3 linked regions of the Danio rerio genome follow. The protein of the gene in region 3 interacts with the protein of the main gene of each other region in a biochemical or structural test. Links are inferred from orthologs where the notes say so. Each region holds a gene or a part of one and is shown on either strand. Other genes may lie near its edges. The genes, in order: vdrb, hnf4a and med1.

Evidence for each region.
Region 1: the proteins of med1 (region 3) and vdrb form a complex in vitro, tested with the Homo sapiens proteins (5 studies listed by BioGRID). The link is inferred for Danio rerio from reciprocal best matches to the Homo sapiens genes MED1 and VDR.
Region 2: the proteins of med1 (region 3) and hnf4a form a complex in vitro, tested with the Homo sapiens proteins (2 studies listed by BioGRID). The link is inferred for Danio rerio from reciprocal best matches to the Homo sapiens genes MED1 and HNF4A.

Annotation. Positions count from the first base shown.
Region 1 is NC_133181.1:41,513,276-41,516,943, reverse strand, and holds part of vdrb (vitamin D3 receptor B), read left to right. Parts: intron 1-2,970; coding exon 2,971-3,157; intron 3,158-3,668.
Region 2 is NC_133198.1:28,803,569-28,806,065, forward strand, and holds part of hnf4a (hepatocyte nuclear factor 4-alpha), read left to right. Parts: intron 1-1,102; coding exon 1,103-1,258; intron 1,259-1,696; coding exon 1,697-1,784; intron 1,785-1,844; exon of another isoform or gene 1,845-1,870; coding exon 1,871-2,023; exon of another isoform or gene 2,024-2,037; intron 2,038-2,111; coding exon 2,112-2,348; intron 2,349-2,497. UniProt on the Homo sapiens protein: Transcriptional regulator which controls the expression of hepatic genes during the transition of endodermal cells to hepatic progenitor cells, facilitating the recruitment of RNA pol II to the promoters of target genes. Activates the transcription of CYP2C38.
Region 3 is NC_133187.1:16,863,579-16,867,246, forward strand, and holds part of med1 (mediator of RNA polymerase II transcription subunit 1), read left to right. Parts: intron 1-1,296; coding exon 1,297-1,429; intron 1,430-1,520; coding exon 1,521-1,549; intron 1,550-3,506; coding exon 3,507-3,578; intron 3,579-3,668. UniProt on the Homo sapiens protein: Component of the Mediator complex, a coactivator involved in the regulated transcription of nearly all RNA polymerase II-dependent genes.

The sequences.
Region 1 (3,668 bases), on a different chromosome or scaffold from region 3:
CCGTGTACAATCTCGGAACTATAAACTAGCGTAACTTTGTTAGTTGCAGCAGTTTTGTTCCATACTGAGACTAAGTCTGGAGAAGCTTTTAATTAATTAATCGTAACAAATTAAAGTACGGTTAATAGTGAAATCAGTTAATGGTTGCATCACTAAAAGATATATTCATATTTCTTATGTCTTGTTCAGTTTAATGTAATCATTGCTAGACAATTTAGTCACCAATAGTCTATTTTAGGTTATTTCTCTACACCAGTGCAATTTTTTTCCCCCTCTAAATTGGAAATGATGCAGTGTAAATTATCACCAGAAAATTTGATGAATAACCTACTGGTGAGCTTCCTTTTTATATATAATTTCTGATTAATTTTCTGACTGATGCTTATTTAAGGTAATGGTGAAAACGGAATAATACATTATTAAACGATAACTGCTGGTTTCATGAAAATGTGCCATTTGTTTCTCTTTGTAAATAAGAGATTTCTTCAGATGTGTTGACAGTCTTGTTTATTGTAATGAAGGCATTTGTGATGGTCAGGGGGTTTGTGTGAAGCTGCGGCTCAAGCAGTTTCAACTACCTGTGTAAACATGCAGGAAAGGCAACACTTCTTTAATGCAAGCTGCATATGATATATTAATAAAAGATTTAATTAAAAATCGCAATTCCAATATCAAATGATATAATCCACAGGTGTGATTATTGTGCAGACAATGTACATAATGCATTTTAATGGCAGCAAATGAAATGTACACCTTTTCAGTAGATTTTTTTAATAATTTAATATATATATATATATATATATATATATATATATATATATATATATATATATATATATATATATATATATATATATTTTTAAGCCAACATCCTGCAGCACAATTCATGCGAATGAGGCGCCGCATTAGCCAATCAGAAGCTTGCTCTTGTAGGAGCGTGATTATTAAGTAGTGCCAGTTGTTGATGTCCCAAGGGGAATTCCTCTTGCCCACACTACACAACAGCTCATCAAACCGGGCTCAGTTCAGTCGGAAGCACCGCTTAAAGCCTCCATCATTCTGGTATAGTTTCTGCAGAAGTTGATAAACTCACAGTGCTGAGTGCACCTCTGAAAGGATCTAGTGCACTCAGACACCACACTAAACGAATCTACATTTATGTGCTTTAGGAAGGCTGAAAAACGGTTACTATCGCAATAAAATCCATGTTAGTCGTTTAGCTACTGAACTAGGGTGAGCGGGCAGACAGAAGCCCTCCCCATGATGCAAATCTGCGTCTGTTGTGAAGTGAATTTGATGCACGAATGAAACAAGTTAACTCAAAATGTTTTCTTGTCTATTTACGTGCGATTAGTGCGATTTATTCACAAGTGCTGTGTCTGGTGTGAACACGGCATCAAAGTTTCTCTCTATAGTGGTTCAATTCTGCAGTGTCTCCACAAATCTCGTGTTTTTGACCTGTGGATTCTGGTCATCTCTATTCATAACTCAACATTGCATCTCTTACGATGTGACTATTGCGGACACACACATTGCGAAGTGGATGATTGAACAATGTATTGTGCAGCCATATATATATACTTGATTTGCCACTTGATTTCTGAGTTACTCTAGATTTGATTTGATTTTTAATTTTATTCTGTAAACTAAAGATATTTCTTCACAATTTAAAAAACATATTCTTGTTGAATCCCCCATTTTAAATGTTATCAGACAACAATTTTTATCTGGAGAGACTTTAAATAAAATATTTTTAAATCTAAAATTGTGCAATTATTATCAAAAGGAAACCTTAAAAACTGTTTTTGATTTTTATCTTATTATTATAATTATTATTTATGTATTTTACCTTGTATATTATTTATTGCTGTTGATGACTTTTAATTGTTAGAATGTTTTTATAATTTTAGAAAATCTGTAATTGTAAAATGTAGTAAACTTGATAGTTTTTTTTGCCATGACATAGCCATAAAAGCTGAAATGGCAATAAAATTATAACTCTCTCTCACAATTTTTAAATAATATATAATCTAGAGATATTTACATGCAATAACTAAAAAGACAAAACAACACCAATGTTTTAACTTCAAAGCAGTCAAGAAAGTTTTGTATGGTGGAATAAATCTGATTTACAAACACAACTATTTAAAACATTTAATGATGCATGCTTTTGGAAAATATTACCTTTTTTAACCCCAAATGTAAATGTTTACAAGACTATTACCTGATTTGATTTCCTCATGAACTTTAAAAATAGTTTTAACCTTATCGACTGACACTCTCTGCACACTTCTCTGATTTAAAACAAGATGCGTATGACTTATTAACAACAAAACCTAATTAAAATGGTTTAAATATGATGAATACACATATTAAAAATGGTTTCGAGTGATATACTCCAGAAGTATTGTGCAGACAAACTTCATAATGCATATTAATGACAGCAAATGAAATCTATACTTTTCTTCATTCTATTTACCTAATAATTGAATATAATAAATCCACTATTCTTCTGTATTATGTTAGTCTGTTGTCAGATGTTGGAAGGGACACAAGAGGGAGATAACACTTGCGTTAATCTGCAAACAGGACACAGTTATCAGCCCAGTATCTCGATATAGTCAGCCTGATGATTTTGTTCTTTGCCAGTGACTCTGCTCCCCCCCACCCCCTTGGCCTTCCAACGTTTCTGTCAGTCAGCACAAAATGTTTATTCTATTTATTTCATTTCAGTACAGTCATAGAGATATCACATTTCTGGTGATTTGTTGGCATCTGTTTGGAGTGTAAATCCTTTAGTCAACATTCAGAAAGCATTCAGACAAAAACAACACTACTACTCAGTAAAGTACAATTCCTGAGGAAAAAAATACTTGGTGGGAGTAATTTGAATATTTGTAATTAGTTACTACTTGACACAACATGAATTGTTGGTAATGTGTCTGTTTGTGTCTGTCTTTGCATACGTAGAGTCAGGCGATCGTAAGATGAATCTGAGTAACCTGCTGATGATGTACCAGGAGCAGGGCTTGAGCTCCAGTCCCGACTCAAAGGAGGAGGATGGCTCCAGTCTCTCCATGCTTCCTCATCTGGCCGACCTGGTTTCTTACAGCATTCAAAAAGTCATTGGCTTTGCCAAGATGATTCCTGGATTTAGGTAAAGTTTTGATTGCGTGATTGAGTGTGTCAGGGCAGTATTTTAGAAACTAAGACTTGGTTTCTTTTTGAGAAAATCAAGAGCTCGTTTTAATTGGAATTGAAGAAGAAGAGGGGCTTTATTTACTAAATTGCGATTTGAAGAGGCTAAACAGGTTCAATAAACACATATTTACATTAAGTGAAGTTTAATTTTAAACTAATTTCAAAAGGAGCATGTGCTCATGATTGACCCAGCTGGTCCACATTAGCTAATTATGATCCTCCAATCAAAGGATCCCAAATCACTATAAATATCCTCATTTCCTTTCTACAACTTATCATCGTCTGGAAGAAACCCCCCTCCTCCCCTTCTTCCTCCTTGATCCAGAATGGGCGGCACGGTGGCCCAGTGACTAGCACTGTTGCCTCACAGCAAGAATACCAATGGTGTAGGGTCCTCGCTGAGCCATCTGGTATTTCTGTATGGAGTTTGCATGTTCTCCCCGTGTCCGCGTGGGTTTCCCCCGGGT
Region 2 (2,497 bases), on a different chromosome or scaffold from region 3:
TACATTCTATGTTTATAGATAAAAATTATTACTATTCATTCATATATAAAATAATTTGTATTGTCATTTATTAGGCAAAAAAGAAAGTCTTAATGAATTTGTATTTTTATATCCAGAATTCTCTCAGTACTGTGAATTAATTAAACATTAAAACCTTTTTTTATTAAGGACTGCAAGTAAATAACTGTAACTGGGCAGCTGGTTACAAAAAATAAAACAATTTACTTATTTTTTCAGCCTTTCTTGTGAAACATTCATTTTGAAAATTCACAGATAACAATATTATATTTCAAAATTAGATATACTGTGTATGTGATTGTCCACACACGGGTGAATTAATCATTAAGTTATTGGAATTAAATTGAAAGATGCAATATACAAATGAAGGAACATGGTGATTAAAAAAAGAATACCACAACTTTGAAAATCGAGAACTCAACAATGAAGAAAATGAAAGCTTCTGTTGTTGATTTAAGGAAGCTCTGGAGTTTTATTAGGTTGCCTATTTGAATGAAAGGTACCCAAAGCAATAGATCGGCCGCCAGGCAGCCTGTGACAGAGCACTTCATCACTGGCCTCCAAGAAGCCCTGACCTCACCCCCTCAGTTTTTTTCAATAGGGTACGTTAAAAATATGGTTTACCACCTCTACTAGCTAACATTGAGGAACTAAAAGAAGAAATAACTGCAGCTATCCAATCTGTTATGCCCGAGATGCTAAAGAGAGTGTGGAATGAGTTCGAATAACAGGTTGATGTCACGAGTGTCTGAAGGGGGTCATATTGAACATCTATGAACTTGTTTTCTACTGAAAAAAAAAACGTTGTTAAGTACTCATCACATGGATTGATTATACGAAGTTCCATCATGTTTCTTTGATTAAATTTTCAAAGTTGTGGTATTCTTTTTGAATCTCCCCATTATTATTATATTCATTAAAGAAAGTAAAAATTTTGAGCAGCTGTGGTGGTCTCATAAATATGTTAGTGGTCTAATAATATTGTTATGCACTGTTTATAAGTAATAATAATAAGATTTAGTAGTAATGTTTATGTTTAAGAGATGTATAGCAAAATACTTATAAAGTATATACCCTCATATAGATTTCATCACCGGGTCCAATCTTGAATGGTGATATCAGAACAAAAAAGGTAGCCGCAATAATGGATGTGTGTGAGTCTATGAAACAGCAGCTGCTGGTGCTGGTGGAATGGGCAAAATACATCCCTGCATTCTGCGACCTCCCGCTGGATGATCAGGTAGGACAAGTTCCTCTTATTTATCTACAAATGTGTCCTTGCAATATTTACTTAAATGCATGTTGGTGTCGACTGAATCCGTGTTTTGTTTTCATTGGAAAAAAAGTTCAGAGATCTCTAGTTTGGGTGGTTAATGTATTTGGATGGCTCAGGTTAGAATATGATGAGCTGGTTTGAAAGTTACATCTCTTCTTGAGACATTCAGAATCATTAACACGCTGAGCACTGAGGCATGCTAACTTATCAGTGTTTTAGCTGTGGGTGAGAGCGTCTCAAACCGCATCTTCTCACACATGGAGACACGCTAAGACTAACCATATGGTCATCATAGAGACTTTAAACAATTCATTGATTTTATATGAAATATTCTAGACATGAAAAGAACTCTAAAGAAAATGTAAAAAAATAATAATATATTTCCATGTTTATTTGTCTCAGGTGGCTTTACTGCGAGCTCACGCTGGAGAACACCTCCTACTAGGAGCTGCCAAACGCTCCATGATGTATAAAGACATTTTACTATTAGGTAAGAAAAGACACATGCGAATATGAGTAGAGGCTTCAAACAATTTAACTAATGTTTTACCTTACATTTTTCCATGATTCTTGCAGGCAATGATCATATAATTCCTCGAAACTGCCCTGAATTGGAGGTGAGCCGTGTGGCTGTAAGAATCCTTGATGAGTTAGTACTTCCCTTCCAAGATCTCCAGATTGATGACAATGAATACGCCTGCTTAAAAGCCATTGTATTTTTCGATCCAGGTACATTAATCATCCTTAAAATGAGATAAGAAGAGCAGAATGTCAAGACTTTTTTTCCTAATGTGATGTTTTTTCTCAACTACTATAGACGCCAAAGGTTTAAGTGACCCAAGCAAGATCAAACGAATGCGGTATCAAGTTCAAGTTAGTTTGGAAGATTACATCAATGACCGACAGTATGACTCGCGGGGACGGTTCGGCGAGCTGCTTCTGCTGTTGCCGACACTACAGAGCATCACCTGGCAAATGATCGAGCAAATCCAGTTTGTTAAATTGTTTGGAATGGCGAAGATAGACAATCTGCTGCAAGAGATGCTTTTAGGAGGTAAATGACTTTTCTTGAAAAGACTTTGTTACAGCAATATGTTTAGAATTTAAGGCTCAATATGTAATTTTCCCCACTAGAGACTGTGGATTCACAAAAAACAAAGGCATAGTTTGATGATCTCCTGACAGTGTGAAATAATGGGAGTT
Region 3 (3,668 bases):
TGTAGTGGCGTTCATTTAAATAAAAAATCGTACCTTTTTTATTTCAGTTTTAACATGGCTTAAAATAAGACGGAGGACTTATGCAGTTGATTTCTTCAGCACACTTTAGGGCTTCAGGTGCTGAAATTCAATATGAATTATTAGACATTCAAAACTTTTGTAATGAGATACATAAATTAAATAAGTAGATACTGCTCACCATAAAAGCTATTTTGTATTATTATTTACTTTTAAGACATTTAAATTGTCTTTGGAAGAACAATTATCATTTACAAAAAGAGCTGTTAGCATCTGCTGAGTCTTTGGACTATCTCCTTTAAGCGTTGTACTGTCAAAGGCAGGTTCTTTATAAGGGGATCTAAGGGTTGAAGCTCTTTTTGGAAAAAAGTACTAAATTTATTTTATTTAATATAAACTGACATTTAAGCATAATCAACTCTATTCAATCAAATTTTAATTAAGGTGTTTAAAGAGAAAACTGGATACATACAAACTGATACATCACTATTACAGTTGCATCAATTGCAATTAAAGGTGCTTGAATTTTATTTACTTATTTATTTTATTTTTTGGCGTGGTTTTGACTGGCATCACTCACTGAATGGTCAAATATTCTGAACAGCATTATAGGTGATGTATTTTTTTCCAAATAACTTAAAATCAAGTTTGATTAAAATTAACATTAGTTTTTTGTGCTTGCAGAACCAGTTGTTAACGTTATGTATAGTGAAGATTCTTTACACATTCTAAATTATAAAGTTGTGAACACAGTGGATTGTCACATGTGATCACATGAAATTCATGTGACTTTTCTGTAAGGGTGTTTATAGAACTCTGCATGTCAGTCTGTCAAGTGCTTTGCTAAATCAAATATATTAGTGCATTTACTTTGAACTGCTTTGTATATTGTAAAAAAGTGCCCCACACCTGAGCCCCAGAACGGTTGGATAGCTTTAACTATTTCATGTTACTATAAATTTGGTATTATGCACCATTTCTTTTTAAAGCATACAAATAAGAGGATTCTCTTATTCAGATATTTAAATTTGCACCTTTAAAAAGGAAGGCAGTTTTATAAGTCATTGAACGAAAATTGAGGCTTCATCAAAGTTCACATGATTTTCTGAAAGCAAAGCAATGCTCACTTAAGCTTTGGAAACCCATACCCATACATATTATACATACCTAGCATTTTTTCTACTTTATTCTACTTGATCTAACTGTAGTTTAGGACATACCTTTTAATAAGTTAATATATGTTTGTCTTTCTTTTCTTTTAATGATGTATGGCTGCAGGTTGGGATCTCACCTGAGTCCTTCACATACTGAATGCTATATCACCTCTGATATGTTCTACGTTGAGGTGCATATGGATAAAAGTGGAAAGCTCATGGATGTAAAAGTGGCCCACCATGGTGAAAATCCTGTGGTGAGAGGGAGATGTGGCTATTGTAAATATATCTATTTGATGTATTTTTTCTGTCCACTTACATTTGATTTTATTTCTTATTGTCATGTAGAGTTGTCCTGAGCTGATACAGCATTTACGGTAAGAAACCCATTTTAAAGAAAAGTAAAACTATGCAAAAGGGTGTATGCATTTCTGTTAATGGATAAATTGCTGTTTGGGACGACAAAACACTTTTAAGTGAATGTAATTGCTGTTGCCCTATCAAACACACTTCATACAACAAAATACTAACCTTAAAATTTCTAGGTTTTGATATCAAAACAATTTACTTATGATGGTCGACAGAATGTTGTGCATCATTTAAAAGATAAATAAAATATTTGCTGTATTGCATTACCGTTCACCTACTGACTTCTTCACAGTAAATATATATCTATATATATATATATATATATATATATATATATATATATTAGTGCTGTCAATCGATTTTAAAAAATTAACTAATTAACTAACTAAATGCGATTAATCGCATTTAAAAGACTGAAACTTGTAATTTTGGCTATTCAAATGTAAAATTTATGTAAACGCAAGACAAAAACTATTTAGATTCAAAATATAATTGTTTATTAGAATTTTTGTTTAACTTGTTTTCCCAGAGATGGGTTGCGGCTGGAAGGGCATCCGCTGCGTAAAAACTTGCTGGATAAGTTGGCGGTCCATTCCGCTGTGGTGACCCCGGATTAATAAAGGGACTAAGCCTACAAGAAAATGAATGAATATTTAACTTGTAACAAAGATTTCTTCATGTAAACAACATACCCACAATAAACCATCAAGATCCTGGCTTGACAGCCATATTTATTACAGAAATTAAAACGCAGGCATGTTAATGCCATTTGAATTTCAAAACAATCAATGCCAACAAAAAAACATTGATTTCCATGTTGGATTGTAAGTGGACTGCAAAAAAATGCCAAAATGCAGGCATTACATGTATGGAAATGTAAAATTATAATAATAAACTATTGAATACAAATATGACACAGACACACACACAACGAGCTGGAGCGATTCCCTTTAGATTCAACACGCATTGCGTTTATCAAATTTGCTTAAATTAAGCGTTCTAAAGTATTATTGTATTTTACAAGGATTCTGACACAACAACGTGAAGCATACGCTTTCGTTGCGTTTAATGAGGAAACATGCAATACTTGGAGGGCTCATGCTGAAAGGCAGAGTAATGGCCTGTCTTTGACAGCTTGTGACTTCACCAAAGACTTTCTGAGTACAGTTACATAAGACACCAATACTCCGATTTTAATATGACTAAGATTACACTCTTATTAAAAGTCTACAGTGTAGCCTAAGCAGCTATTTTATTACCTTAAAGGAATACTGAGTCACGAAATGCGGAAGATTTTCTTTCTGTTCGCCATGCGGTATCAACTTACAACAGAAGTCGAAAGTTAAAAATTAAACATCCGAAATTGCACGAAACTCTGGATAACCTGGTGATGAGACATTAATTGTTTTATACTGAAACTTGCCTTCAAAAAGTGCTTCCTTGGTCTTGTCCACATTTCTTGCATGTTAAACACACGTCCACCACAACAGGAAGTAAAAAAAACCTGCAACTGCGTTTTTTTAACGCGTTAATTATTTAAAATTAATCACATGCGTTAACGCACTAATTTTGACAGATTTATATATATATATATATATATATATATATAATGTATATGTGTGTGTGTGTGTGTGTGTGTATATATGTGTATATATATATATATATATATATATATATGTGTGTATATATATATATATATGTGTGTGTGTGTGTGTGTATATATATATATATATATATATATATGTGTGTCTGTATATATATATGTATATATATATATATATATATATATATATATATATATATATATATATATATATATATATATATATATATATATATATATATATGTGTATGTGTATATATATGTGTATATATGTGTGTGTGTGTGTGTGTGTTATTTAACTCCAACTGTAAAGTTGTTAATGTACGGTAACACAGCATTAAACATAAACATTTGTTTTACAGAGACAAGAATTTTGATGAGTTTTCCAAACACCTGAAGGGTCTGGTCAACCTGTACAATCTCCCTGGAGACAAGTATGGTGTCCATTTCTGTTTATTAAATCATAAAGTGCTTTCAGTTCCAGTGACTTGCATTGCAATATCTTTTTCTCATCTTATTCCACA